Linked DNA regions of Astyanax mexicanus. The protein of the gene in region 3 purifies or fractionates together with the protein of the main gene of each other region. This does not show direct contact. Links are inferred from orthologs where the notes say so. Each region holds a gene or a part of one and is shown on either strand. Other genes may lie near its edges.

What was found.
Region 1: the proteins of snrpb2 (region 3) and sf3b4 purify together in Homo sapiens (affinity purification with mass spectrometry; 4 studies listed by BioGRID and IntAct, with this or other methods). This does not show direct contact. The link is inferred for Astyanax mexicanus from reciprocal best matches to the Homo sapiens genes SNRPB2 and SF3B4.
Region 2: the proteins of snrpb2 (region 3) and sf3b6 purify together in Homo sapiens (affinity purification with mass spectrometry; 4 studies listed by BioGRID and IntAct, with this or other methods). This does not show direct contact. The link is inferred for Astyanax mexicanus from reciprocal best matches to the Homo sapiens genes SNRPB2 and SF3B6.
Region 4: the proteins of snrpb2 (region 3) and rbm17 purify together in Homo sapiens (affinity purification with mass spectrometry; 3 studies listed by BioGRID and IntAct, with this or other methods). This does not show direct contact. The link is inferred for Astyanax mexicanus from reciprocal best matches to the Homo sapiens genes SNRPB2 and RBM17.

Annotation. Positions count from the first base shown.
Region 1 is NC_064410.1:32,707,364-32,714,212, forward strand, and holds the start of sf3b4 (splicing factor 3B subunit 4), read left to right. Parts: upstream 1-3,830; 5' UTR 3,831-3,895; coding exon 3,896-3,929; intron 3,930-4,550; coding exon 4,551-4,679; intron 4,680-5,731; coding exon 5,732-6,274; intron 6,275-6,668; coding exon 6,669-6,842; intron 6,843-6,849. Other genes in the region: rab25a (ras-related protein Rab-25a), read right to left, coding at 525-718, 1,662-1,857, 2,136-2,172. UniProt on the Homo sapiens protein: Component of the 17S U2 SnRNP complex of the spliceosome, a large ribonucleoprotein complex that removes introns from transcribed pre-mRNAs.
Region 2 is NC_064408.1:59,524,622-59,531,786, forward strand, and holds the start of sf3b6 (splicing factor 3B subunit 6), read right to left. Parts: upstream 3,001-7,165; 5' UTR 2,840-3,000; coding exon 2,810-2,839; intron 1,971-2,809; coding exon 1,852-1,970; intron 1-1,851.
Region 3 is NC_064428.1:32,565,038-32,572,290, reverse strand, and holds the start of snrpb2 (U2 small nuclear ribonucleoprotein B''), read left to right. Parts: upstream 1-4,249; 5' UTR 4,250-4,355; intron 4,356-4,606; 5' UTR 4,607-4,632; coding exon 4,633-4,696; intron 4,697-7,253. Other genes in the region: rnaseh2a (ribonuclease H2 subunit A), read left to right, coding at 90-227, 1,588-1,675, 1,841-1,964, 2,818-2,977. UniProt on the Homo sapiens protein: Involved in pre-mRNA splicing as component of the spliceosome. Associated with sn-RNP U2, where it contributes to the binding of stem loop IV of U2 snRNA.
Region 4 is NC_064409.1:20,777,492-20,784,971, reverse strand, and holds the start of rbm17 (splicing factor 45), read right to left. Parts: upstream 3,026-7,480; 5' UTR 2,900-3,025; intron 1,503-2,899; 5' UTR 1,495-1,502; coding exon 1,372-1,494; intron 1,244-1,371; coding exon 1,133-1,243; intron 709-1,132; coding exon 545-708; intron 145-544; coding exon 35-144; intron 1-34. Other genes in the region: il15ra (interleukin-15 receptor subunit alpha), read left to right, coding at 6,188-6,341. UniProt on the Homo sapiens protein: Splice factor that binds to the single-stranded 3'AG at the exon/intron border and promotes its utilization in the second catalytic step. Involved in the regulation of alternative splicing and the utilization of cryptic splice sites.

The DNA.
Region 1 (6,849 bases), on a different chromosome or scaffold from region 3:
AAATAACATGAAATGTTAAATATGTTAAATACAGATCTGGAAAAAATAAGAGATCACTTCAGTTTCTAAATCAGTTTCTCTGATTGTGCTATTTATAGGTTTATGTTTGAGTAAAATGAACATTGTTGTTTTATTCTATAAACTAAGGATTCATGCATCTTAGCATGTTCTCCTCCACCAGTCTTACACACTGCTTTTTGATAACTTTATGCCACTCCTGGTGCAAAAATTCAAGCAGTTCAGTTTGGTTTGATGGCTTGTGATCATCCATATTCTCTTGATTATATTACAGAGATTTTCAATTTGGTAAAATCTAAAAAAAATCATAATTTTTAAGGGGTCTCTTATTTTTTCCAGAGCTGTACATCACTATTGTATAGCTCTGAAAAAACCTTGTATCTCTCACAGACACTTTGTAAAAAAGGGAACTGTGCAATATCTATATTTCCTCTATTGCAAATACATGTATATACGCAATCAAAATAGCTATGCTTTGTTTTCTATAGAACTGAGAGTTTATTCACCTGCAAAACTTTTAGCTTCTTCTGTTGGAATGGTGCGCTGCATATCCAGGTCACTCTTGTTGCCCACCAGCATGACCACCATGTGTGGATCTGCATGGTCATATAGTTCCTTTAGCCATCGCTCTACATACTCGTATGTGAGGTGCTTGGTAATGTCGTAAACCAGGAGTGCCCCCACTGCTCCCCTGTAATACCTATACATACAAAATATTACAGCTTTACACCTACGCTAAAGCATGTGGTGCTGGAGCAGAAATAAATAAAGTGTCTTGCTTGTGAGACCACAATAGATTACTACCAAAGAGCCTGTTCAGATCTTAATTCCAGGTAACTAAATCATAGTGTAAAGTTATTTAGTCTTATGATGCATTATGATAGAGAAAACGTACAACTAAAGACCCAGTGGTAGATTACTACCTATAGTACCTATAGTGTCACTGCTGTAAAACTATGTTAGACTACTGTGCAACATGTTAGATTACCAAAGACCTGGTGTTATTACTGAGAAATAACATGTTAGATTACTGAGAACCTATAGTTATTGCTGTAAACCTACGGTATATTACTAAGAACCTAGAGTTGGATTACTGGAGATAAAATGTTACATGTTAAATTACTGAGGACCTAGTGTTTTGGAGATCTAGATTATTACTGAGTTTTAATGTCAGTCCCTTTATAGCCTAATGTAGGTTAAATTGTTATTAATGCCAGGACAGCAAGTACAAATATATAAATGGTATTTACGTAAAAAAAGATTGTGTAGACTTTATTGTGTAGTGTTTATACTCTTTATGAATACATGTTTGCAAGTGTGTATTTTTTGGGTAATATACTGACAAACTGTCAGGAATTATTTGCAAATGAAATGTTTACAGTCATTATATCACAAGCAATATTGCAATGCTGGGCATTCAATCTAGATAAAGAGATAAATGAATGAATGAATGAATGAATAATGTTATTATGTTATAAGAGTTTGGACCTGTTGGCATGTTTGCAGTTAGTTAGTTACATTTTTAGTTAATAAAACATATTTTTTGTACACACAGTTTGCTTCAGAGATTGCTTAGACAGTCCAATTTATTTATTTTCTAAGATTGAGAGGAAATGTGCCTTTTGTGACCGTTGTGTACTTACGCTGATGTGATGGCCCGGTACCGCTCCAGCCCAGCTGTGTCCCAAATCTGTGCTTTGATGGTCACTGTGTCCAGCTGAATAGTACGCGTACTGAATTCCACTCCAATGGTGGTGCGACTGTCATGATTAAACTCATTTTTGGTGAATCTGGACAGCAGATTGCTCTTTCCCACCCCAGATTCCCCAATTAACACCACTAAAGAGTGAGAGAGAGAAAGAAGAAATTAATTATAAAAACAATATTTATGGATAATCACAATTGCAATTTCTTTAAACTGAAAAGTGTTCAAATGTAGCATTTATTTTAAAGACAATAAAAGAAAATCCAAAAGAGGAAAACCCCATCCCTTAGGTAATAATAGTAAACTAAACATAAACCCAAAATAAACTAACAAAACAAATCTTTAAACTAAAAGCAGTGATGCAGTTCTGGATAAAATATTTAGAGTTCAAGCTCAGAATCAGCTGTCTTACCTTTAAAAACAAAGTTGTAGCCTAAATCTGTCCCCATTTGTACTATTCACAGTAAACTAATGTTAGTTATCAGTGCCTGTAAATGTATAGAATCTCCAGGCTGGTTAAACCATCAGTTTTCTGGTCACAGGTTATATTCCATACTAGCAGTGGCTTCCTTGAGTTCCAAAACTTAGATAGTGGAGCAGCTGGAGAAACAGGTTAAACCAGCCGCCACACAATGTCTATGGGAGTGACAAAATCACATCCATTCAGCCCTTGCTCTGTTTTTATCAGTACATGTAGGTGTGTCCTCAGACTGTATAATTACCCACTGAAAAGTTAGAGGTACACTAGGTTCATCACAATATTGAACATAAATATTAATTGTATAATGTAATTCACCACAGGTTGATGCACATGCAAATCTAGATGTTTCTATAAACTGCATTGCAGTCTACAGAGAAGTGAGAACTATTTATTTATTTTGTGTAGATTTTTTTTAGCCAAGGGGGCTAAGGTTGTAATAGAGGGCTCTAGAGGTAAGTTGTGAATTATGAAACTGACATAAAATTAAAAACAATTCTATAAAGAGACACTTTTGACCAAAGTTGGCATTTGGTAAAAAAAAAAATATCTGTCCACTAATAAAAGGTTCAGATCAAGCTAAGATACAAGCAATAGTATTTGCAATCACAGGTCAAATGTGAATTTGTTCTTATTTTTTTATTACCTTGAAGGCTGATTTTTTTTTTTTTGAGTGTGTCTTTCGAAAAAAAAAAAAAAACTTTGACAGTGCAGTTGCTCAGTTAAAAGCATGGTTACTATTACTGTCACATGCTCTTTGGATGTGGACTGCTTTAGCACTGGATCTAATGAGGGTGTAAGAAAAATCTTTAGGGCAGGTTTGGCCTCTAAACTGCTGCCATTTACTCTGGCTATGTAATCTCAGTGTTTACTGTGTGTGTTTGCTTGGTAGTGTGTATGAGTGTGTTTACTGATTGTTATATATAAAGGCCACATTCCCAGACTTCCCAAGTTGCAAAAATTTATTTCAGGAAGGTACCCCCGGACCTGGACTTGGAACATATACATATATAGTCGTATTTACTCACCTCAACATGCCTATCATTTAGTCCCCTGTGGGCAATGCTAATGCATTCCATCTGTGTTACAGTTTCATTTACACAGGCAAAATACTAATTTAATAAACTTTGATTTAAGTAAAAGTAACTATATTTAGCCCTTTGAACCAAAGCTTGAGACATCAAAAAAAATGAAATATATATATATATATATATATATATATATATATATATATATATATATATATATATATATATATATATATATATATAACTGTATATAAACAAATATATGTGTCTTTTTTATTATAATAAAAATGCTGTATTTTTTCCTAGCAGGCAATATAATAATATAATTAGCTGCTTAAAAAGAAATAATTTTACGAAATGGCAGATTTTACTAATGTGCATTGTGTATAATAAAATATAAACTTAATTCTCACTGTTTGCAGCAGCCATGTTTATTGCAGCACTGTAAAAATATTATATTTATTAAAGCTTTTGTTTACTAAAATTTATTTTTGTGTATGTCTGTCAGAAAGTCCTGTTCGTGTGGTGAAACTATTTATTGTAATTATATTTAGTAAATTATTTTAAAACGATGAACATCTATAAAGTAAAAGGACTTTTAAACGTGTTAGCAGCGGAAGAGGATCACCCGCAAACTTCCGTTTTTCCGCCAGCGCGTCGTTCATCATGGCGGCGGGTCCGATATCAGAAAGAAACCAGGGTAAGAAAATGAATAAAAAACTCTTACTGATGTTAGAGATCTTATTAAATATCGGTCTGAATGTGTTTTAATAGATACAGGACACGCGTTCTTTACTGACTGCTGGGTTCTGTCTCTGAGTGATGATCACACTCTCGGAGCTCGTGCTCTTTATGTCACAGTGCAGCTCTTTACTCACTCTTAAACAGACTAACGTTAACCAGGTAAAGTTGTATACTGTAAAGTATACTGATGAGAATGGAAATAAAAATAAATAGAAATGGAAATGTGTAACTCTGTGGTTATATAGCCATACGGGTTCTGGTTTATTTTATTAACCGCTAGATCTGCTGGATGGTTCTCGGGAAAGCTTAGCAGTTCATTCATTGATTCTTCGCTAAAGCTAGCTAATGCTAACGCTGTGTTTTGTTTCCGTGCAAACTATTTAACGTTAGTTAAATATTTAACTTAGCAAACAAATGATCAGATTTTTTTGGGTTATTTGATTTGTCTCTTCAGTGCATTACTTTAAAATAGAACTTCTGAAAGAAGCCAGTTTAAGCTCATAGTTACAATCCATTCATTAATGTAAATAATATATTTTTTCTAAACAAGTGGTTTTCCTGTTTTTTGTTGTCATAGATGCTACGGTATATGTAGGCGGTCTGGATGAAAAGGTTTCGGAGCCGCTGTTGTGGGAACTCTTCCTGCAAGCTGGACCAGTGGTCAACACACACATGCCCAAAGACAGAGTCACAGGGCAACATCAGGGTGAGTACAGCACTCTGACACACAGCTTGTGGGTTGCACAAAAAATGTCAAACACTACACCAGACTGATGCGTGGCTGCCAAAAAATTGATTATGTAGTAAATAATTAGTGGTAGGTGGTATTTTAATCACTCCCAAAAGAAATTGCTGCTTAACAGGGCACAGTAAGCAGCAAACAGACTAGGTTTTTCTTTTACGAATTGTATTACTGCCATATTGTCTATATATGTTTTACAGCTGTAGAAGTAATTCACCCAAGTGTCAGCACATTAATTTAATTATATGGTTGTCTTTTGGGAAAGTTGTACTTGAACATTACAATTTAACTACATTAAAAAGCATGTTTATTGCTTCAAGTCAAAATATATTCTTTACAAAGACAGTGACATATTAACCATGTATTGCATTATTATAATGATTTATGTGCATTTTTATAATTATTAATTATATTAGTATATGAGTGTATTGCAGTGAGTGATTTAAGGAGCTCCACACTGCTCCACTCCAAAATGCTTAATGCTGGTGCATTCTCATTGTCTTATTCATTATTCTCTCTCTTTTTTTTTTTTTTTTTTTTTGCTTTGTGCCTAATAAATTATAAAATATCTGCATTCCTATTATTGTGAACTTCTTTCACAACCATCCCAAACTGAAAGGCATCTGTCCAAAACTTGAATGTATTTGTGTAATTTTCTACAGCCATGTCATCAGTTGTTTGAAATTTATTAACAGTACGCCTCTCCTGGTGTTACCAACAAGCTGATTGGTTCTATGTTGAAAGGTGTGACTTTATCTATAAATCTGTTCTAAGCTTTAGGAAAACTTCCAGTCATATTTCAACCAGCAAGTGGTCTCCCGATTAACTGTTTATAACCATTTATAAAGTGCAAACATTTGCTCTCCTGAATAATTTTTAGTGCCATCCTGTGCACTATTTTTTGGAAGGTGTTGTTCTGGAGCTAATATTCATGTGTGGTCTAACCACACATTTAACCTGCATATGCAAATGATGTCAAACTTGTTCATTTACATGTTCTGTGATATATTCAATAGGTTATGGCTTTGTGGAGTTCCTCAGTGAGGAAGATGCTGATTATGCCATAAAGATCATGAACATGATCAAGCTGTATGGTAAACCAATACGAGTCAACAAAGCTTCAGCACACAACAAGAACTTAGACGTGGGTGCCAACATCTTCATCGGGAACTTGGACCCCGAAATCGACGAGAAGCTGCTTTATGATACTTTCAGTGCTTTCGGCGTCATCCTTCAGACACCCAAGATTATGCGTGACCCGGACACAGGCAACTCCAAGGGTTACGCTTTTATCAACTTTGCCAGTTTTGATGCCTCTGATGCTGCAATTGAAGCCATGAATGGCCAGTACCTCTGTAATCGACCCATCACAGTCTCTTACGCCTTTAAGAAGGATTCCAAAGGTGAGAGGCACGGCTCAGCAGCCGAGCGTCTCCTGGCTGCACAGAACCCTCTCTCGCAGGCTGATAGGCCACATCAGCTGTTTGCAGATGCCCCGCCCCCTCCCACTGCACCTACGCCTGTAATGACCACACTGGGAGCAGCCATTCCCATTCCAGGTCAGTTATTACTTGGATTTCTAATATATATTTTTCTTAATTTATGAACAAATGAGTTATGTGATACAAATTGCAGCACTGCACCTTGGGTTCGGTGTAATGGGTATAAAAGGTATGGAGGGTGGGGATGGTAGGGCAAGAATGAGAAAATGGGAAATAGAGATATCGGTGGGAGTGGGTGTGTATGGATTGATGTTTGACTTATCAGTAGAAATTCTGTAAAGGATTTCAGTGGAAAAAAAAATAATAATAATAATTCTGATCTGATCCTGTAACATCTTTATGTTAAGCACACACCTGCACTGATACAGGGATGTTGTGGGGATTAAAAACCTTATGAAAGTAGATCTGATTGTTTGTTCTCTTTCTCTAACTCCTTATTTAACTCATGCAGGCATGCCTCCTCCTGGCGCATTCCCCCCTGTGCCACCCCCAGGCTCAATGCCACCTGGAATGCCCCCTGGCATGCCCATGCCCCTTGCTCCAGGGACACCTTCCCCTCAGGGCGGTGCTACAGGACCTCCCCCAGGACCACCGCCCTTCCCACCTGCTGGAATGCACCCTCCAGGTAAAAG
Region 2 (7,165 bases), on a different chromosome or scaffold from region 3:
TCACTATATAATACATCTATATAATATGAGTAACTTTCCAATGAATTTTCTTTTTTAAAAAACACCTGTAAATAAAAACTTTTTAATTTGCAGTGCCAGAGAGTTGACTCTCTGCAAATTGTCTTTTTCTTGAGTGGGACATAAAACAAGATTTGTCTTGCATTTCAAATGTATGTTAATTATTTTGCTTTGCTTGCTTATTTGTTTTTTTTGTACACATTAAACTCTCGTTTTCTACATCATACCGCTATATTTAAATACTAGGGCTTGGTTTCACAGACAGGAATTAAGCCAAGTTGTGGTAAAACTGATCACAGTACATACAGCATTTTCAAGGTAATAATATGGAGTGCAAAAGCTTATGTGTGGGAGGAGCTAATACACTGTAGGGAAATATTATGACAGCTAGCAACATAGAAACATTTCTTTAGCCCTTTCTGGATGGGATTAGTTTCTTAGGAGGACGTCTGTGAAAAATATTTCACACTTCTACTCAGTAATAAACTCTTGCATCCGGACTGCAATGGAAAAAAGGGGACCAGTGAGGGTTTTTTTTTTTTTTTTGCTTTCTCGGTCACATGACATCGCGTTCAGTAGCTCCTCCATTCCCACTCATTGTTGTGTTTACATGGATCTCCAAGGAAACGCGCACCCAAATTGTAATTACAGTGCGTGGCAGTGAACAAATAGCCATTTTATTAAATGTGAGGTGACAAAACTCAAGAGATGTCCATCCGGATGGGACTAAAATTACCGGACGACCACAGAGTTCAGTGACAAACAGTAGGTAGTTCAGCCTGTAATTTTCTCAGAAGACGTCTGAGGAAAACACAAACATGGTCTTTCCGGACGGGTATAAAATATCACAGAGGACCCCCTGAGAAACAAATCCTGTCTAGATGGGGCTTTTAACAATTCAGATCGATTCAGATTTAGTTTGTTGCAATCTGACATTTCTTCAGCAGGGGGCACTGTTAGAACACAAGTAAACATAAAAATATATATCTGACAAAGTACCATGTTGGCACATCATTTCCTGGGCAGAAAATATGTGTAAAACACAAAGATTCTTCATTATTATCCACTGGAGTCGGAGCAAAGCACCAGTCTCATACTTATCCAATACTTCTACTACCTTGTAACTTTATCACATTGTGCCCCCCTAAGCAGGTTTTATATTTGCAGAAATAGCGATTTCCCCTCACTCAGTTTTTGCAATTGTTTGTCAAAAAATTCTAAATCTAAACAGAGAATTATACATTCGTAACAGAATCTGAAATCTAGTTCTGTGTGTAGTCATTGTAGTTTTATGACTGTATTTGTGTAGCAGAGTCACTCATGATCTTTAAACGCCAACTAAAGACTCATCTTTTCAAAGACTTCTTAAACTAATCTTTAAAATAATCATCTAGGGTTAATGTTTAATGTTCTTTAAACATCATCAAGCTTTAAGTATTTCTTGATCCTAGTCTCTACAAACTAGCTATGGATATTTTGAACTAAACAACGAAGCATTGATGTAAGAAGCAGCAAAACAGGCAAACGGCATGTAATGTCATGAGAGTGAAGTAGAAAAAAGGTGCTGCAAAGTATAGATAATTTATTGTAACAATTATGTTAACTACTCACATTAGTCTTCTCATATAAGATCATTTAAATCTGGGGTGCACAACTGGTCCTGAACAGCCAGAATCCTACTCAGTTTAGTGCTTAGTCTGCTCAAACACGTGATTCAACATCTCTGATTCAACACATCAGTTAATCATCAACCCTTTAGTCCAAATGGCTCCGTATACCAAATAAACAATTGGCCTGCTAACTAAAAAAAATAGGACATTGATCAGTACTTACACTCTGATTTGCCGGATGGGGCCGTATTTTCCAAATATGTCATACATTTCTTCTGCTGTGATTTTATAAGGAAGGTTACGTATGTACAATATCCTATTCACCTCCGGAGGCAAGCGAATCTGGGAGAAAAAAACAAAACAAAGATGTTCTGCTTAATGCTCAGTTTCAATAACAACATTAAAAGTCTTGATTTTCACACGTTACAATAAAACATGGGATTTGTCACACTGTTGAAAGATTTGGGACTTTAGACCAGACATTGAGAAATTTCACTCTCCTATATTAATAACAGCTTTAAAAGAGAACGCTCACATTAACACTTCATCAGAACCGACTGAGGTTTCTTATTTAAACTTGGTTTTGTAAAGTACACGAGTGTTTAGTGGTGCTATTTGGGTTTTCTATTAACGAGAAAGAAGCTCCGCAGTTGTGGATAAAAAGCCAGCTAGATACTGTAGGAAATGTCCAGCATGATTAGAAGACAAAACACACTAGCTAGTTAGCTTAGCCAGCCTGTAAGTTGGTCGTGTTTTTATCTACGTTCAGCTAACTAACGCTACAAAGTTTTACTAGTTTAAACCGCGTGAATGAAAACTCCCCAAACAAGAGCGAGTGTTTATCTAGCCAGCTAGCTTGGTTAGCTTAGATACCGTGTTAGCTAACTGTCTCGGTCAGGGCGAGCGGCTAAGCTAAGCTAGGTTGGTTAGTGTTTCTTACCCCATAGTCTTTAATACAGTTCTAGCCCGTTTGAGCTGAATGAGGACCTGATCATTCACTAGTGTTGTACAGTAAGACGGAGTCTATACAGTGTGTTTTAGTGTGTGTGATGAGTGTGAAACTCTGCTGTGGCTTTAGCTCCAACAGGCTAACGGCTTCCTCGATACAAAGAGGCCTGCTCACACCGGGCCTCGGTTTAAAGAGTAAATACAGGGAAACGAAATAAATAAACAAGACTTACGTTCGCGCGTTTCGCTGCTTGCATCGCCATGATCGAAAATCCTGATTAATGTTCCGCTTTTACACTGAACTAAACAGATACTCTGAACTCTCAGCGAGCTCCTCACCAACTCCCACACTACGCACTGACTTCAGGCGCACGATGACGCACTTCCGTGTAGCCGACACATACACGAATGCAGCTGCGTTAAGTGAGCAACAATAAGCAACGAATAAAGGAAAAAAAAACAACACAAAAAAAAACAAATAAGCAACGAATTATACCCGGAAGTGTTTCGTTTTTCGTGCTCCTCCTGAGTTTCCATTTCAAAATAAAAGCAATGAAGCTTTTGAATATATTACACAATTAAATATAGTTTTACCGATCTGGAGGGTTATCCATTGCTTTAGTGACGTCTCTGGTTTATATGTAACCATTTCTGTTACAAATTTGAGTGATTTAAAACTATTATTTAAACACTAGCCTTAACTTTAAACAGTAATATTAGTGTGAAATGAATCAGGGAGAGAATTTGGCAAAACAGTATAAAACATTTTTTATACCTCAACCATATATTCCATATTTACACATGCTGGGTCAGAAGAGACATTTACCCCTAGATGGCAGTAAGAGGTATGGTTGTTATCTTTTTTACAACTGTGAAAGCACTGACATGGTTCTTACAAACCGATCTATAATAATAATAATAATAATAATAATAATAATAATAATAATAATGATAATAATAATAATAATAATCAATATCAGTCTGCAGCCTAAACTATACATTGCGTCAACATAAACCCATAGTGAAATTAATTCAGCAGACCCTCCTCTGTCAGAAAACATGGAGTTTACTATCAAAAAAGCGTAATTGTAGATGTAGGAGTCATCACACTATAGGCGATACATGGTTATATCCCATTAAATGATATGAATACAGGGTGGGCATAGTTGTATCAGTCTGCAGCCTAAACTATACATTGTGTCAGCATAAACCCATAGTGAAATTAATTCATCAAACCCTCCTCTGTCAGAAAACATGGAGTTATCTATGAAAAAAGCGTAATTGTAGACGTAGGTGTCACTTATACTATAGGCGATACATGCCATTAAATTATCTTAATACAGAAAGGGCATAGTTGTATCAGTCTGCAGCCTAAACTATACATTGTGTCAACATAAACCCATAGTGAAATTAATTCATCAGACCCTCCTCTGTCAGAAAACATGGAGTTATCTATGAAAAAAGCGTAATTGTAGATGAAGGAGTCATCACACTATAGGCGATACATGGTTATATCCCATTAAATGATATGAATACAGGGTGGGCATAGTTGTATCAGTCTGCTGCCTAAACTATACATTGTGTCAGCATAAACCCATAGTGAAATTAATTCATCAGACCCTCCTCTGTCAGAAAACATGGAGTTATCTATGAAAAAAGCGTAATTGTAGACGTAGGAGTCACTTATACTATAGGCGATACATGCCATTAAATTATCTTAATACAGAAAGGGCATAGTTGTATCAGTCTGCAGCCTAAACTATACATTGTGTCAACATAAACCCATAGTGAAATTAATTCAGCAGACCCTCCTCTGTCAGAAAACATGTAGTTTTCTATCAAAAAAGCGTAATTGTAGATGTAGGAGTCATCACACTATAGGAGATACATGGTTATATCCCATTAAATGATATGAATACAGGGTGGGCATAGTTGTATCAGTCTGCAGCCTAAACTATACATTGTGTCAACATAAACCCATAGTGAAATTAATTCAGCAGACCCTCCTCTGTCAGAAAACATGGAGTTTACTATCAAAAAAGCGTAATTGTAGATGTAGGAGTCATCACACTATAGGCGATAAATGGTTATATACCATTAAATGATATTAATACAGAATAGGCATAGTTGTATCAGTCTGCTGTCTAAACTATACATTGTGTCAGCATAAACCCATAGTGAAATTAATTCATCAAACCCTCCTCTGTCAGAAAACATGGAGTTATCTATGAAAAAAGCGTAATTGTAGACGTAGGAGTCACTTATACTATAGGCGATACATGCCATTAAATTATCTTAATACAGAAAGGGCATAGTTGTATCAGTCTGCAGCCTAAACTATACATTGTGTCAACATAAACCCATAGTGAAATTAATTCATCAGACCCTCCTCTGTCAGAAAACATGGAGTTATCTATGAAAAAAGCGTAATTGTAGATGTAGGAGTCATCACACTATAGGCGATACATGGTTATATCCCATTAAATGATATGAATACAGGGTGGGCATAGTTGTATCAGTCTGCTGCCTAAACTATACATTGTGTCAACATAAACCCATAGTGAAATTAATTCAGCAGACCCTCCTCTGTCAGAAAACATGGAGTTTAATATCAAAAAAGCGTAATTGTAGATGTAGGGGTCACTTATACTATAGGCGATAAATGGTTATATCCTATTAAATGATATGAATACAGGGTGGGCATAGTTGTATCAGTCTGCAGCCTAAACTATACATTGTGTCAACATAAACCCATAGTGAAATTAATTCAGCAGACCCTCCTCTGTCAGAAAACATGGAGTTTACTATCAAAAAAGCGTAATTGTAGATGTAGGAGTCATCACACTATAGGCGATAAATGGTTATATACCATTAAATGATATTAATACAGAATAGGCATAGTTGTACCAGTCTGCAGCCTAAACTATACATTGTGTCAGCATAAACCCATAGTGAAATTAATTCATCAAACCCTCCTCTGTCAGAAAACATGGAGTTTACTATCAAAAAAGCGTAATTGTAGATGTAGGGGTCACTTATACTATAGGCGATACATGGTTATATCCTATTAAATGATATGAATACAGGGTGGGCATAGTTGTATCAGTCTCCAGCCTAAACTATACATTGTGTCAACATAAACCCATAGTGAAATTAATTCATCAGACCCTCCTCTGTCAGAAAACATGGAGTTATCTATGAAAAAAGCGTAATTGTAGATGTAAGAGTCATCACACTATAGGCGATAAATAGTTATATACCATTAAATGATATGAATACAGGGTGGGCATATAACAGAAGCAATAAAATCCTTTTGTTACCAGCAAACGAGATTACATCTGAAGGACTTGAGGTTTCACTAAAATCATTTTCCCAAATTAAGTGTAAGAAATGTGGAAACAAAGATTCAGTGTCAATTAATAAAAACGAGACCATTCATTGCCCTAAAACACTAATTGTATTATCAGACCAGTGCAATATTAAGCTAGATCAAAAAATAATGTTGTCTTCAGTGTTCAGTGATAATGTTTACAAAATTGGCGCCATTCTCTCTCACTATGAAACCCCCCCTTTTGCTAAACTTTTCAAAGCAGGAAACAGTGGCTGGACTGTCAATGGTGTTAACCATATAAATTATAGCTCTACCTTAATTAATAAAATGGTATCCCAATCAAAATCAGTTATAGTTGCTTTAGAGTTAGAAAATTGTATAGATATACAGAATTTAAAACTGCAGGAGACAAAACATAAATGTACAGAGCAATGTGAGAAAACCACCCCTTATAAACATTCAGATGTATTTTGGCAAAACCATGATGATCTTCCAAAAAACTTACTTAAAGAGGATTTAGAGTTAATCACAAGTGTAAGATGGCTAAATGACAGAATTATAGATGCTTACCTTGCCCTTTTAAAAGACAAAGCAACAGATCAAAAAGTGCTGATGTGTCCATCTACATTTGCAAGTCAACAGCTTTGCAGTTTATATTGTGAGAAAATTGATATTCTGCCAGATGCCCCAAATCCTGAAAGAAACTGGTGGAGATATAATACTGTAGTTGTTCCAATTAATTTAGGCTCTGTACACTGGGTTGCTGCTGTTCTTAATGTGTCAAAATGTGTCAGGTGAAAAAAGTATTGTGGCGTGGAAGAGGAAGGAAGACCCGTGAGACTCATGCTGAATGCTCAACAGCTTCTTTATTGAACAGGCTTGCCACTCACTTACAGCCTCTAACAAGACTAGGAGAGCTAAAACCATTAACCCACAGAGCTTAAATAGCCCAAAGGCCACCAACCCAGCTGTGTGTCTCCCAGATGGCACATCCAGAGTGGTGCCCACCCTCTCTGCATAACCCCTCCCAAGGGAGATGCCCCACCCCTGTCATCCTCGCACACAGGAGAACAGAAACATACCTGCAGGCAGCCACACACACAACCCAGAGCCGCCACATAGCCCCCCTCCCAAGGGTCAGCCGTCCCGGCGACCCCACCAACCCAACACAAACCCCGTGTACAACAGAACATTTTTTTTTTTTACAATCAATCGCAAACAAAGTCATTAAGGCGGGCGGGCGGCCTCCGTGCCCGCG
Region 3 (7,253 bases):
GAGAAACTAGCTAGTCTTTATTGATATAGGACTATCTAACAGTAAGTGTGTAATAAATTAATGAAGTGTCTGTGCTCCTGTCTCTGCAGGTATTTGTGGATACAGTGGGTCCAGCAGAAAAGTACGAGGAGAAGCTGTCTAAACGTTTTCCTGGAATAAAAGTTACAGTGCGACCCAAAGCAGACTCTCTCTTCCCCATAGTCAGTGCAGCCAGTATCTGTGCCAAGGTGAGTGTGGAGCAAGTAAAGCATGAAAATGAAGTTCAGCACAAGTTAGAGACAGGTGCAATGTGTCCTCTGCTTTTAACCCATTCATACAGCGGAAACACAAATACTCACCAGTAAACTCACAACTATACATACACTGTACGTTTTACAGATTCATACTGGATTAAAATTACTGCACTAGAATTGCTGTGAGACTGTAGAACTGTACTGCATAATCATACTGGATCATAATCACTCCAGCTGTTTCTGTTTCTGTGAATTCTGCACATTCTGCAGATTCATACTGGATCAGAATCACTACAGTTGACTGGTAACAGGTAAAATGTACTAAATAAAAATGTTGTAAAAATACAATGAAATATTGAGATATTATGCTTTTTTTGCTGTTTGTAGTAAATGGAAAATTCACACTGTTCTCCCATTAAATGTCTACTAGACACAGATTATATCTATCATGGATATATGGAGTGCATTATTAGTATCATCACGTTTTTTCGTTGACTTTGACTGTTACAATCTGGTGAAAATCCCAATTATGGGTGTGCCGTTTCATATTGTCTTCTACAATATCTCCAAATAAACGTTAATATGAATTTTGTTGCAGTAGTTAAGTATTTAAATTCTTTTTTTTTAAATTGAATGTTTGGTCATTTTGCCTAGAATATTATAAAAAAAATATTCTGAAATAATGCAATATTAGGGCTGTCAACGTTAAAGGGTTAACGCGCGCTGTTAATTTGGAATCAGTAATGCGTTACTATTTTTTTAACGCAAATTAGTTAAGGCACCAAGTTTGACCCCTACTTCTGCCGTAATTTACCCCCCCCCCTCTCTCTCTCTCTCTCTCTCTCTCTCTCTCTCTCTCTCTCTCTCTCTCTCTCTCTCTCTCTCTCTCTCTCTCTCTCTCTCTCTCTCTCTCTCTCTCTCTCTCTCTCTCTCTCACACACACACACACACACACACACACACACACACACACACACACACACACACACACACACACACACACACACACACACACTTTCCTGCCCTGCTCCTCATCCCTGCATTCTTTATTTCATCACCCTGCGTTGATTTTGTCTCCTCTCAAATATACAATATATAATTGACGCCACTAATAAACAGTAATTGCATTTTACTTTTCTTGCAGTCATTCTTTTATTTACATTTAAATATAAATATATCCACTAGAAAAATTTGCATCTGAAAGTAAAACAAATGTGATTAATTGCAGTTAATCACAGAATTTTGTAGTGATTTAATCAGATAAAAATATACTATATGATATTATTATTATTATTATTTTTTTTTTTTTTATATATAAATAGTAGTCACTAATGTTTGTGGGAATCTCTGACAGGTGGCCAGAGATCGAGTAGTGAAAGACTGGAAGTTTGCAGAAGATCTCGGGGAGGTGGACACGGAGTACGGTTCAGGATACCCTAACGGTCAGCACTCGCACCACTTCATTCACCTTACTCTAAACTAACTAGGAACACATGAGACTATATTATTTTATTACAACGGTCAGCATCGTTAATATGGTTATTTGTAATCATGCAGAACTTGCAGTGATGCGTCCGTGTTGTGTTAATGTGTTTGTGTGTGTTCAGATCCAAAGACTAAGAGCTGGATGCTGAAGTATCTGGATCCAGTGTTTGGATATCCTCAGTTTGTGCGGTTCAGCTGGAGCACAGCACAGACACTAATGGACAGTAAAGCAGTTACAGTACACTGGTGAGTTCACCATCAGGGGGCAGTGCTTAGCAGCCTGGGGAGAATGACTAGAAAGCAAGACTGGCATTAGAGTAGATAAATTATTCAGAAGCTCCTTACAAGTGATGGACAGTGATAATTTTTTTTTTTTTTTTTTTTTTTTTAAGATTCTGATGGTTTTGTGGTATATCACTGTATTATTTTATTTTTGTTTACTGTGCAATTCACAACCTCCTGTATTAAGATAATTTTCCTCCATGCAGGCCCTGAGGAAACACCTTTTAGTTTTTTTGTATTTAATTCAATATCCTTCTAAAATACTTATTTTAAAAAATATAATTTTTATTTTTCAAATGTACAAAATGTATTTAAAAAAAAAACTTTTGTTCTTTTTCGAATGTACAAAAATGTTTTTAGCAAAGTGTGTTAAAAACAGCTGTATGTAATGTAGCAGTTAACTTTTTAGAAAGTAAATTAAATTACTACTATTCATTTTACAAATTAAAGTGAAATTGGAACACGCAAAAAATTGTAGTACAGAATATTAAAATATATTTTTATATGCAACAAAGAATACTAGAAGTGTGCTACTTACAAAGACAGGACCAAGAAGCATATTTGTTCTCTAATGTAAATAGATCACATACATATTTAACATACAATACATAAAGTAGTATGTTTAAATGTTACCCAAGTATATTTAAAAGTTTCATTTTAGTACAGTTAAGTACACTTGGCACAATTTAAGTAAGAAATTTGTACTGTTTTTCTACAATTAACGCATAATAAGTACAAAAACCACACATGCGTAAAAAAAAAAGTTTATTAATATTTGTGTGTGTGTTTGTGTGTGTGTGTGTGTGTGTGTGTGTAGGGATGACGACGAGGAAGATGGTGAGAAAGCAGCAGCTCGCCAAAACAACACCTCCATGCTGTCGTACTTCGGCCGCAACAAACCAGCCGGCCAGACACAAACTCGGGAGACGCATCGCTTCTTTACTGAGCGCCGATTACAGACCGTCGACACACTCTGAGCACACACACACACACACACTAACACACACACTCGGAGTAGATTTCCAGAGCTAGTTCTGCAGCTTCAGCACTAAAGTCCAGTGTCTGCTGGAATTGTCATGTTGTATTTTATGCATATTTTCTTAATATCAAAGTAATAAAAATGCATATTTTATACAGTACAAACGTGTGTTGATGTGATTATTGTCTATAATTTGCCTTTAAGTTTGTATATTATTTCATCATTAAACTAATAATTAAAATCACATTATTGCAAGTGTTTGTTTAATGAAATGGTAGTATGTAAGTTATTATTGTCTGAATCTAATAACCTATGCATTTAATTTCTTTGGTTTCTAATCCAAAGATGGTTACAAAACTCATGTAATATTTAAAAAGCATGTTTCAAGAAAGTCTTTATTTTAAAGAAATGGTTGACTGCATGTTCAAATAATTGATATTTATGACAAAAAAAAGCTCCTGTTACTGGCACTCACTCCTGTTCCTGGAACTCGCTCCTGTTACTGGCACTCACTATTATTTTTATGTTTTGAGTAACAGGAATGAGTTCGCATTCCTTAGCTTTGAGAATTAGCAAAAACATGAAAAATAGCTAAATGGCTTCTGTGTTAATAGCATGCGGACACTGAGCACATGATGTCACTTCCTATTTTAGATGTGACTTGTTGTTGTTAACTTGTTTCAGATGGGGTAATGTTTTACGGTAACAGAAATGAGTGAAACCCCAGGGACACAACTAAAATGTGTATTTTAACTTAAATATTATGGATTTATTATGAAAAAAAAAAATAAAGCATAGATGGGATTTGGAGTCACATAATGCAAACAATGTACATCTCTGAAGAATTTTATATATATTTTTATGGTAAAGTTTATAGTTAGAGAGGAGGGTACAGGTAACAAATGCTATTTTTTAGTGTTCTAAGTAGTGTTTTTAATTATTTAAAATTACATACCATAAATTTGCATTTAGGACACTGTACAATACACTATGCTTAATAATAAAATGTATTTTATGTGCACATTGTAATTTCCTGGGGACAGAAATTTGGTGAAATGGCTCAATTAAATTTACTATAAATCTTTCCTTGTGGTCAAATGAAGGGTCGGCGGAAATATACAATATATATACCAACAGTCTCTTCAAATATATAACAAAAAAAGTTCTAAAAGAGCAAGAAATTGGATGTTTTTGATCATAGACCTTAGAGACCACCATACTTATATACAGTCTATGGTAATTACTCGTTCCTCCGGATCAGCAGGTGGCGCCACACTAACGCCGTTCGGCGTAAACTTGAGCAGAGAAGAGAAGCGCTTTCCGGCGGTAAGTTACAGCGGTGTGGACTGACTGAACGGCGCACATTCATCCAAACTGTGAGTTATTTACAGTTAAACTGTTATTTAACATAGCGAGAAACATTACAGCGATTTAATTTAATTTATCAAGCGCTTAAAACAGCAGAGTAGCGTTTAATTTACTTTAATTAGCTGTTTATTTAGGTAGTTAGCCTAGCTAAGCTAACAGCTAACTGCCCTGTGTGTCCTGTGTAGCTCTATACCCCAGCTCTGCTCTGTTTACTCAACTAGACTACTTTACTGATTTATTTATTTTAATTTCTCTGCAGGAAAATCCTTCTTCAGCTTTAATAAGATGGATATAAGACCCAACCACACCATCTATATCAACAATGTCAACGACAAGATCAAGAAAGAGGGTGAGTCTCAGTTTTAAGAGCTTTATTTTCTCTCTGAATAATTCTGAATAAACTGTGTTGGATGAAGAACCCAGTTAATAAATAATGTAACTGCTTGAGTTGCAGTAGAGATACCCAGGGTTAATTATCACTTCATTAAAAACAGGAAAACTTGAGTAGAAGTACTAAAATACAGTACCAGCCAAAAGTTTGGTTCTTATTCAGTGTGGTTTCTTTCTCTTTATGACTTTTTACAGTGTAAATTGAATATTGAAGGCGATATTAAAGCTATTCAGGAACACATGCTGAATAATTCTGTAAATAAAAAAAAGTGTTAAACAAACCAGAATCGGTTTTATACTTTAAATTCTTCTAATTAACAACATTTTGCTTTGAGGACAGATCTGCACACTTTGGTTGTCTCCAGAAACCCCCCAAAATACTCCTTTTTCCCTCTGATCCTTCTCCATTCCTCCATGACCCAGAAAACTGATTTTGTAGCACCATCTTGCCACCTGGAGAAGATGAAAAAGCCGCTTAAAATCATCCTCAAAGTGACTTTCAACAGCGACTACACTACAGTAGGGGTGGGCAATATGGCCCTAAAATAAATAATAAAAAATATTTTTTTAAAATACACCATACACTGCAAGAAAATAAAAACATATATTTTATTATTACATACAATATAATACTGTACACCCCTAAGTAAGATATTAAAAAATACAAGAATTTTATCAGATTTGTAACTTATGTCAATGATCCAGAATGTCATGATACTAATAGTAATGCACTCCAAATATCTCCATATATCCAGGGTTAAATAAAATTAAGTAAAATAAATGATACTGGACAGAAATAATCTGTCTCTAGCAGATATATAATGGGAAATGGGATGGGTGATATGGCACGATATTTTAGGGTATAATATCAATCACGATATTAAAAATGTTTTACGATATTATCGTGTACGATACGATATGGCACACCCCTACACCACAGTATAATACCCAGGAAATGTTTTAAAGTTTGACCATGCCCACAAAGCACCTGAGCACACATTTTTATTCAAATTAATTACTTAATACATTTTTAATCAATTTCTTTTTTGACTTGACACTTACATGACTCGAACATATAATCACTTATTATGAACAAATAAAAAAAAGAGATAAGTAAAATGGAATAAATAAACAACACAAGGCTTTCACCTTTATTTGATTGGCAAGAATTTCACGTTATTTCAGAAATGTATTTTCTCTGCAACAAACAGAAGTTGTGGTTGGCTTGGCAGTATTAGGGGAGCTGAAAGTGAGTGTTGTGATTGGCTCAGTTTATCAGTAGTCAATAGTCAATCTGAAGTAGAGTCACCTGGAATAGTTTTCTCAGCGTCTTGAAGGAAGGAGTTCCTGGAGGTGCTGAACAATAGCTGCGGCTTTTCCTTCATTCTGTGAAGCTCCAGCTCATCCCAATTAAATCACCTCAAATCACCATCTCAGTTAATCAGGTTTAGATCAGGAGATTAATGTGAAGAACAAAGCAAATCTTTTTTTTTTTTATGTATTTTTTATTTTTTTCTGTTTACTACATAATTTCACTTTCTCTTTCTACAACGTGTATTTAATCATTAGACTGGTACTGTATTTTAGTTGTGAAATTAGGGTTGGATGATATGGCAAAAATCTATGTCACGATATATGTCTTAGTTTCGGTCGATACACTACAATTCCAACATTGATATAAGCAGTTTACTACCCTTGGTGATAGAGATGAGTGATATGGTAAAAAATGTTCTTTTACAATACTTTACAGACATTTTCACAGTACACAGGATTTATCATATTTACACGCAGATAAAATACATTTTCTATTTAAGGACTCTCGTGAACAGTATAGTGATTTTTGTTAATTTACTGCTTCACATATAATCCTGTTTAACAGGATATTTTTCACTCTGTAATAAAAAAAAATATTTTTTTAAATTTAAATAAAATTGATATTGTCTGACATTTACATATTTGCAAATTTGCACTGCTAAATTATACATATTTATATACCTGCGTTCTTGCACTGTTTATACAGTGCCCTCCATAATTATTGGCACCCCTGGTTAAGATGTGTTCTTTAGCTTCTCATAAATTGAGTTTTGTTCAAAATAATATAGGACCACGATGGGAAAAAAGAGTAAAATACAACCTTTAACTCAAGTGAATTTATTCAGTAGGAAAAAAATCCCACATTAAGAAATAATTATTTAACATCAAATCATGTGTGCCACAATTATTAGCACCCCTGATGTTAATACTTTGTACAACCCCCTTTTGCCAACAAAACAGCACCTAATCTTCTCCTGTAATGTTTCACAAGATGGGAGAATACAGAAAGAGGGATCTTTGACCATTCCTCTTTGCACATTCTCTCTAAATCATCCAACGACCTGGGTCCTCTCCTCTGCACTCTCCTCTTCAGCTCACCCCACAGGTTTTCAATGGGGTTGAGGTCTGGGGACTGAGATGGCCATGGGAGGAGCTTGATTCTGTGTGCGGTGAACCATTTCTGTGTAGATTTGGCCACATGT
Region 4 (7,480 bases), on a different chromosome or scaffold from region 3:
AAAAAAATTTGTTATAGTTTGAGAAGACACCCACTCCTCTTCCTCTTCTCTTTCTCATACTCCTCATCCTCATCTGAATCTGCCTCTGTGGGGAAACGTGAGAAACCACTGGGGGCCGATCCTTCATGACGCTCCTTTCGCTTCCTATTTCGACAAACAAGAGAGGCAACTGAAACTCAAACCAGGCAGTACGAAATGACCAGCACAATATTTCTTTAAAGAGGCTTTAAAGAGTGGCTAATATAGTAATAGGAGTAGGAATTTCAGGCCATCACACGAAACAATTACAATTACCACAATAACAATGATATCCCAATACTGTGGTTCCGTGATATCTGATATATCACAAGACAATTCTCTTGAACACCTCACGGCATCTGCGTTACTGAAGAGGTAAAATACTCATAAATTTCTCAAACATATCATAAATACACCAAATCACACTGTCTATTGAAAAAGCATAAAAAAAAAAAAAACTAAACCCAGGTGAACAGGACCAGCAGGGCATTGGTGTACAGACAGGGTACGTGTGGAATGTGCATACTTCTCTCTCTCTTCGATCTCCTTCTGCCGCTCCTGTTCCCTCTGCCTCTGACGTTCCTCCCTGTGTCTTTTCACCACTTTCTCATAGTCATTTGGGAACATGGGATCATACTCATCCGGGAGCGGGATTAGGACATCACCTGCAGAAAAGCCACCTGGTACGTCCTGTCACACACAAAAATATAAACTTAAAATAGCTGCTATAAAGAAGCTACCCAACTAAACAGTTCTTATAATGCCTTAAGATTTGCAAAAGAATGTATCATACTGTATAATAGTGGTGAGCCATACCATACCATGCCCAATATATTGTGGCAGTAACATTGTGATTTTAAATTCTATATCATGTAAATACTATAATTATTTTTTGGGAAACATTAAGAGTATATTCTGTATTTTTGCAATATTTATGCATATACTAAATAGCATTTACTTCAGTATCTTGAAAAAAAATTCTACATTATTTCTACAATAATTTTCTTCTTATTATTATTATTATTATTATTTTAATCCCTAACTTATCTCATCTAAAAGTATTGGACAGACCTCCATCAATACAGAGAACACTGTTCCAGCTTTCTTCACTCACCTTCAGCCCTGCTGCTACATGTGGGGGTGTGTCTGGAATCTGCCGCTCGTCACTTCCTCTCTTGAGATCAACAACTGGAGCCAAAACAGTGGATTGTCTCATCCTCTGCGTCTGCGAAGGGGGAAAACAAAGATCTATTTCCAGGCCAATTTCAGGTTTAAGTAAAGATATAATGGTACTACATAATACAGACAACACAGAACATCTGCAGTTTAATGTTATAAAAACAGAATGCAAACCTTTGCTTGTGTCAGAGCAGCTTTTTTCACTTTCAGCTGCGACTGAAGCAGTTTGAAGTTCTTCGACCATCCTTCAGTCTTGGCGTCACTGGTAGCGACCCCCAAATCATCGTAAAGAGACATTGGTTCACCTGATCACACAACACAATGAATGTAGAGAATGTTACACTTGTTTCATTTTATTTTCCACACATCAACAGTTTGCATTACTTTCATTACCTGCAGATATAACTCATGAAACAAGAACAAGAACTCATTAACTTGTTTTTTTATTAGGGAAGCACTGGTTCTTGTCTGCTTTGCCAATAGTGATTTGGAAAATTGGTTATTACCAAAACTGGTTAATGATCACTACAGTTGTTAAAAGGTTCATATTTTTTAAATAAAAGTTAATGTCTGAGTACTTGTAGTTTATGCTGAAGCTGTGTGTAACAAAAAGCCTGTTCTGGTGCTTATTAAATTTGCACACACTTCTCTTCTTGTCCTGCTGACAAGAAAATCCCAGCAGAAATCTATTTTTAAGGAAACTGATAAGCTTTGAGGTGGATGAAGGTATACCGGTATATACTAATTAATCAGTGCTGTAATATCAGAGAAAGAGAAAGAAAGAGAGAGAGACACACAGACAGAAAGACAGAGAAAGAGACACAGAGACAGGCACACAGAGAGACAGAGAGAGATAGAAAGAGACACAGAGACAGACAGAGAAAGAAACAGACAGAGAAATAACGAGACAGAGAGATAGAGAGACACACAGAGAGACAAAGAGAGACTGAGAGAGAGAGAGAGAGAGAGAGAGAGAGAGAGAGAGAGAGAGAGAGAGAGCAAAAACACAAAGAAGCAGAAGGAGAGACAGAGACAGAAAGGGAGAGAGAAAGAGAGACAGACACAGACAAACAGAGAGAGAGAGAGAGAGAGAGAGAGACTTGAAGAGAGTGAGACAGACAGACAGAAATATTCCATATATGTAATGGTATTAGTTTGGCACTGATACAGTTGATTGTATGCTACTCTACTGTACAACAGTGTGTTGTTAATGGTTTATTTTGGTTGGACGATTTTGTTATTTTTTTACTCTCTTAAAATTAGACCAAAGTTAATTCTAAAGCACATTCACATAGTTTAGGCATCCAGAAAATAGAATTCGATGCAGTTATCAGTTTGTGCACCAACTCCACTGTAAAACCACAGTACTGGTGCACAGAATAGACCCAACAAAACGATGCAGTTTGGCTATTTGTCTTCTAAACACATTCAGGCTGGTTTTAGCAGAGGTTTGAGGTGTTATACAGCTTAAAATGATCTCAACTGATCATATGCTATGTAACAAAAAATAAAATGTGCCTGAAATGTCTCTAAACACAAAAAGCACACACAAAACACAGGCTAAGCTTCATTAGCCAGGTTGGCTAGCTACCATTTCCCACGCCAGCCCCAGCGCTAACTGTGACCACAGCTAAAATACCCTACCACGCACTGATAGTATTGATGGTTTAAAAAGCACTTTAGACCATCTTTTAGTAAATACCTGTGATTAAATTCCAAACGGGAGCGAGAAACCTCAATATTCCACCACATTTAGCACAGCATGCTAACGCGCCGTCTCCTCGTCGCTTCTAATGACGTCATCAAAAGTGGCCAAACGAAGTGCTGCCCTCTAGTGTGAGAATCACAGAAGCTCAGCATCATCCAACAACACAGTCCACACTCCCACCTATCACAACCACAAACCCAGCACCTAGCATTACTACTATAAACTGATATCTCATTATTCTGAGATATTATCTCATTACTCTGAGATACTAAGACATTATTTTGATATAATAAGTCATTAATTTGAGATACTAAGTCATTGTTCTAAGATACTAAGTCATTATTTTGAGATACTTAGTCATTATTTTGGGATAATGTCATTATTTTAAGAAACTACATCATTATTTTGAGACACTATGTCATTATTTTGCGATGCTGTGCCATTATTTTAAGATACAAAGTCATTATTTTGAGATACTAAGTCATTAAGATACTATGTGTGGTGTGGTAGTGTAGACTTGAACAGTTATGGAGTGAAGGTTTGCCACAAGGATACTGTATAGACACTGCCAGGTGAAATCCAGATTTTTAAATTTATTTTAACTGTGCAAAAAACTAAAATACTAAGCCATTATTTTAAGAAACTAAGTCATTATTTTAAAATGCTAAATCATTGTTTTGAGATATTAAGTCAGCAAAAATAATCTTTAAATAACCCCTTAGAATGTCAAAATAATTATTATCTCAAAATAACGACTTATGTCAGAATAATGACTTATTATCTGTCTGTGCCAGGTGATGGAACCATAATAAGTCAGATTTCCCAACAACTCTGGGCAGAAAAGTCTTAGCACAGGTTTTGTCCACCTGTAAGAAAACAGCCTTTCCTTCAGTCAATTTTAGTCAGTCAGACCAAATTGGCATTAAACCGCACAGTCTGCTGGATGCTGTGAATTTACTATATATCTCTGTGTAGTTTATTAATATGAGGCTTGTGTTTCTAAAGAACGCAATATAACAGCCAGATGTTACTCCATAATAAGCCCATAAACACAATGTCAAAAAATCATTAAAATGTTCCACCCTGTAATTGTCCACTCTATAGTACAGCTTGCCATAACAAGATGGACACATCCATAAAAGGACAAAAAATGAAAATATTAAGTGATCAAGCAGGACAATAATAATTTCTGTGTAGTCTGAAGTCTTATAACATATGCTAAATAGTCCAAAAGTACTGTCATTTTAAGTAGATTTAAGCAGAATTAAGCAGAGCTTGTGTTTTAAAGACGATCACAAGGTGGAGCCATTGCTACCAAATCCCTCTAATAGCCCTGTCCTAAACAATCCGGGTAATATGGGGTCATATAGCTGTAGAGAAATCTTTCTAACTTTAAATAAAAGTCAATGTAAAAGGGTCGTTCTACAGAAACGCCCCCTTTTGAAATGGCAAAATGTCTTTTTTTTTGTAAAATTTAAACTTAGACTATGTTAATACATAACATAAATAGATGCATATCATGAATACGCATACTTGATTTGATCTTTTTTGTTAGTGTATTGAAATATTTTGGCTACCAAATAGGGGTGTAAGGAAATACTTATATAATAAAGTATTACAATAGTTTATTTGGCAATGCTCGAATGATTTTCAAAAACACAGTATAAATTGTAATGATTAGTTTAGATGACATACACGTTTGTCCATATAAATTCAGAAAATAACAATATAATAAATCAAATCTTTACAATATTAGCAATGTCAATAACATTTTTTAAAACCTTTTCTTTATTGATAGCAGGGAATGTCTGTGGTAGAGGCTCAAACCGAAACAATAAAGGTCTGTCACGCCTAGCTCACCCTCCCATCTGATATACAGTAAATCACTCTATTACCGAGAAGAACAGAGCCGCCAGGCAGGGTTTAAAAAATAAACAAGTAGTATAATGAAAATAAAAGTGAAACAATTCAGGCAGAGTGCCTGAAACCTTTTACCTATTAACAGAGATAAGCATGTCAACAAGTGTCCTGGACCTTTGGATGATTTCGAACAGTGCTTTTTACGACAAATATTATTTATAATAATAATAATAATAATAATAATAATAATAATAATCTTTTTTTTTTTTTTTGGAAAACGAAAAAAGACAACCTTTACTTTATTCTCAATTTTTATAATTTTGCATCCGGGGAAGAAAATTAAAATAACATTAAATGTAATGTATATATACGAATATATATATACATATATATATATATATATATATATATATATATATAATATATATATAATAATAAAAAAATAAAAAAAAAATAATATATATATATATATATATATATATATATATATATATATATATATATATATATATATATATATATATACGTATATTATTATTATTATTATTTTTTTTTTTTTACGCAGCAAATAGTGCCCATTGTGGTAGTGATGCTAGCGATGATAAAAGCGTGGTAGTAATGCTAACACTGTGGTAGTAATGCTAATGGTAGTAGCCATAATTGAAAGGGAGTCATGCTAACACAAAAAATCTCAAATATATTGGTAAATGAGATCAAAGTTTACAAGTTTATAAGTTTTTGTTAAAAGCAATTTTATTTTTAACATATTGTTACACAAGGTTTATGTATAAATTCAGTATATTTGCTACATGCACAAACCGCACTTTCTGAACATGTAAGGATATTTAAATATATATATATATATATATATATATATATATATATATATATATATATATATATATATATATATATATATATATAAACTAGCGTGGCGTTGGTTGGTTATTGGGTTGAAGCCCCAGTGGGCGGAGCTTAGTTCAGTGGAGAAGTCATATGGTGAAGTAACCTCCAGCAGCAGGTTAGTGTACAAGTACAGTGTTACAAGTTACAAGTACAGTGTATAGTGTACTTTACTCTTTCCCGCTGATGTTGGTGGATCAGTGACTGGGACGTCTCCGGTCTGGACTGAAGGAGCTCTGTGGAAAATATAATTTTGCCTGAGGAACACAGCTCGGTACAGCACCGCCATATGCTACCCTGATCCACTGTGACCCACGGCGTTATTTATACCCCCAGCCCACGCGAAGTGTTGGGACGCTCTGCGGTGTGTGCTCAGTGTTTGTGTGCGCAGTGTGTGTGTGTGTGTGTGTGTGTGTGTGTGTGTGTGTGTGTGTGTGTTTAAGTGAAAGTGAAACCGGGCTACTTATGTTATTTTGCTGAACGGAAAGGAAGCTGTCGTAGTCACAGGCCGTGCTTCAGATGACTGGAGTCTGTGTATTTCCTAAAATATGTGTAAATCACCGGCAGGCAGACCCAGTGTTGGTATTTCTGGACATGCGGGCATCATCTCTCCTCCTCCTCACCTTCATCTTCACCGCGGCTGAGTACCCCCTCCACATCTTCGGGGTAAACGGTGAGTACCCTGATAGCCAAGAACATTAAATAAACGTTTTTTTTTGCATTACAACTTTGAATGTTGTTGATTGAAAAACAACTCTTATCCAACCTTTGTTTAACATTACCTAATATATTCATTAGTTTGTGTTGCGAATATGACATTGAATCAACGTTCATTTAAAGGTTTAAAGTGGTTGGGCTGAGCTCTTCTACACTCTGGTGATAGCAAAGAACATAAATAACCTTTATTATTTGGATGTATTACACCTTGTATTGATGGTGGGGCACATTTAGCATTTCCTAATAGGCACCAGTTAGTGTTTAGATTATGCCATTGAATAAACTTTTATTAAAAGGTTTTTAGGGATTTTAGTGGGGCTCTTCTACACTCTTGTTGTAGCAAAGAACATTGATTAAACATCATTTTAAGTTGCATTGAGTTCATGTATCTCCTAGTGTTGATGAGGGGAAAACAACTTTATTTAACATGGCCTAATATTCACTGGTTAGTTTTGCAAGTCTGACATTGAATCAACGTTCATTTAAAGGTTTTAAGTGGTTGGGCTGAGCTCTTCTACACTCTGATGATAGCAAAGAACATAAATAAACTTTATTATTTAGATGTATTACATATTTTCTTGATGGTGATGGGGGGGGAAAAAAGCACATTTATTAGCATTTCCTAATAGGCTCCAGTTAGTGTTCAAATTATGCCATTGAATAAACTTTTATTAAAAGGTTTTTAGGGATTTTAGTGAGGCTCTTCTACACTCTTGTGGTAGCAAAGAACATTGATTTAAACATCATTTTAAGTTGCATTGAGTTATTGTATCTTCTAGTGTTGATGAGGGGAAAACAACTTTATTTAACATGGCCTAATATTCACTGGTTAGTTTTGCAATCTGACATTGAATCAACGTTTATTTAAATGGTTTGAGTGGTTTTGGCTCTCCTACATTCCCCTGATAGCAGAGAATATTAAATGTTATTTGTTGGATGCATTACATCTTTTAATGTTGATGATGGAAAAACAACATGTATGTATTTCATGTAAGTAAAGTTTAATACAAACCATACATATAAAACCATGACATTTGAATCAGTGTTGAATAACAGTAAAATCAATGTGCACAAATAAATCTACTCTGACGTCGG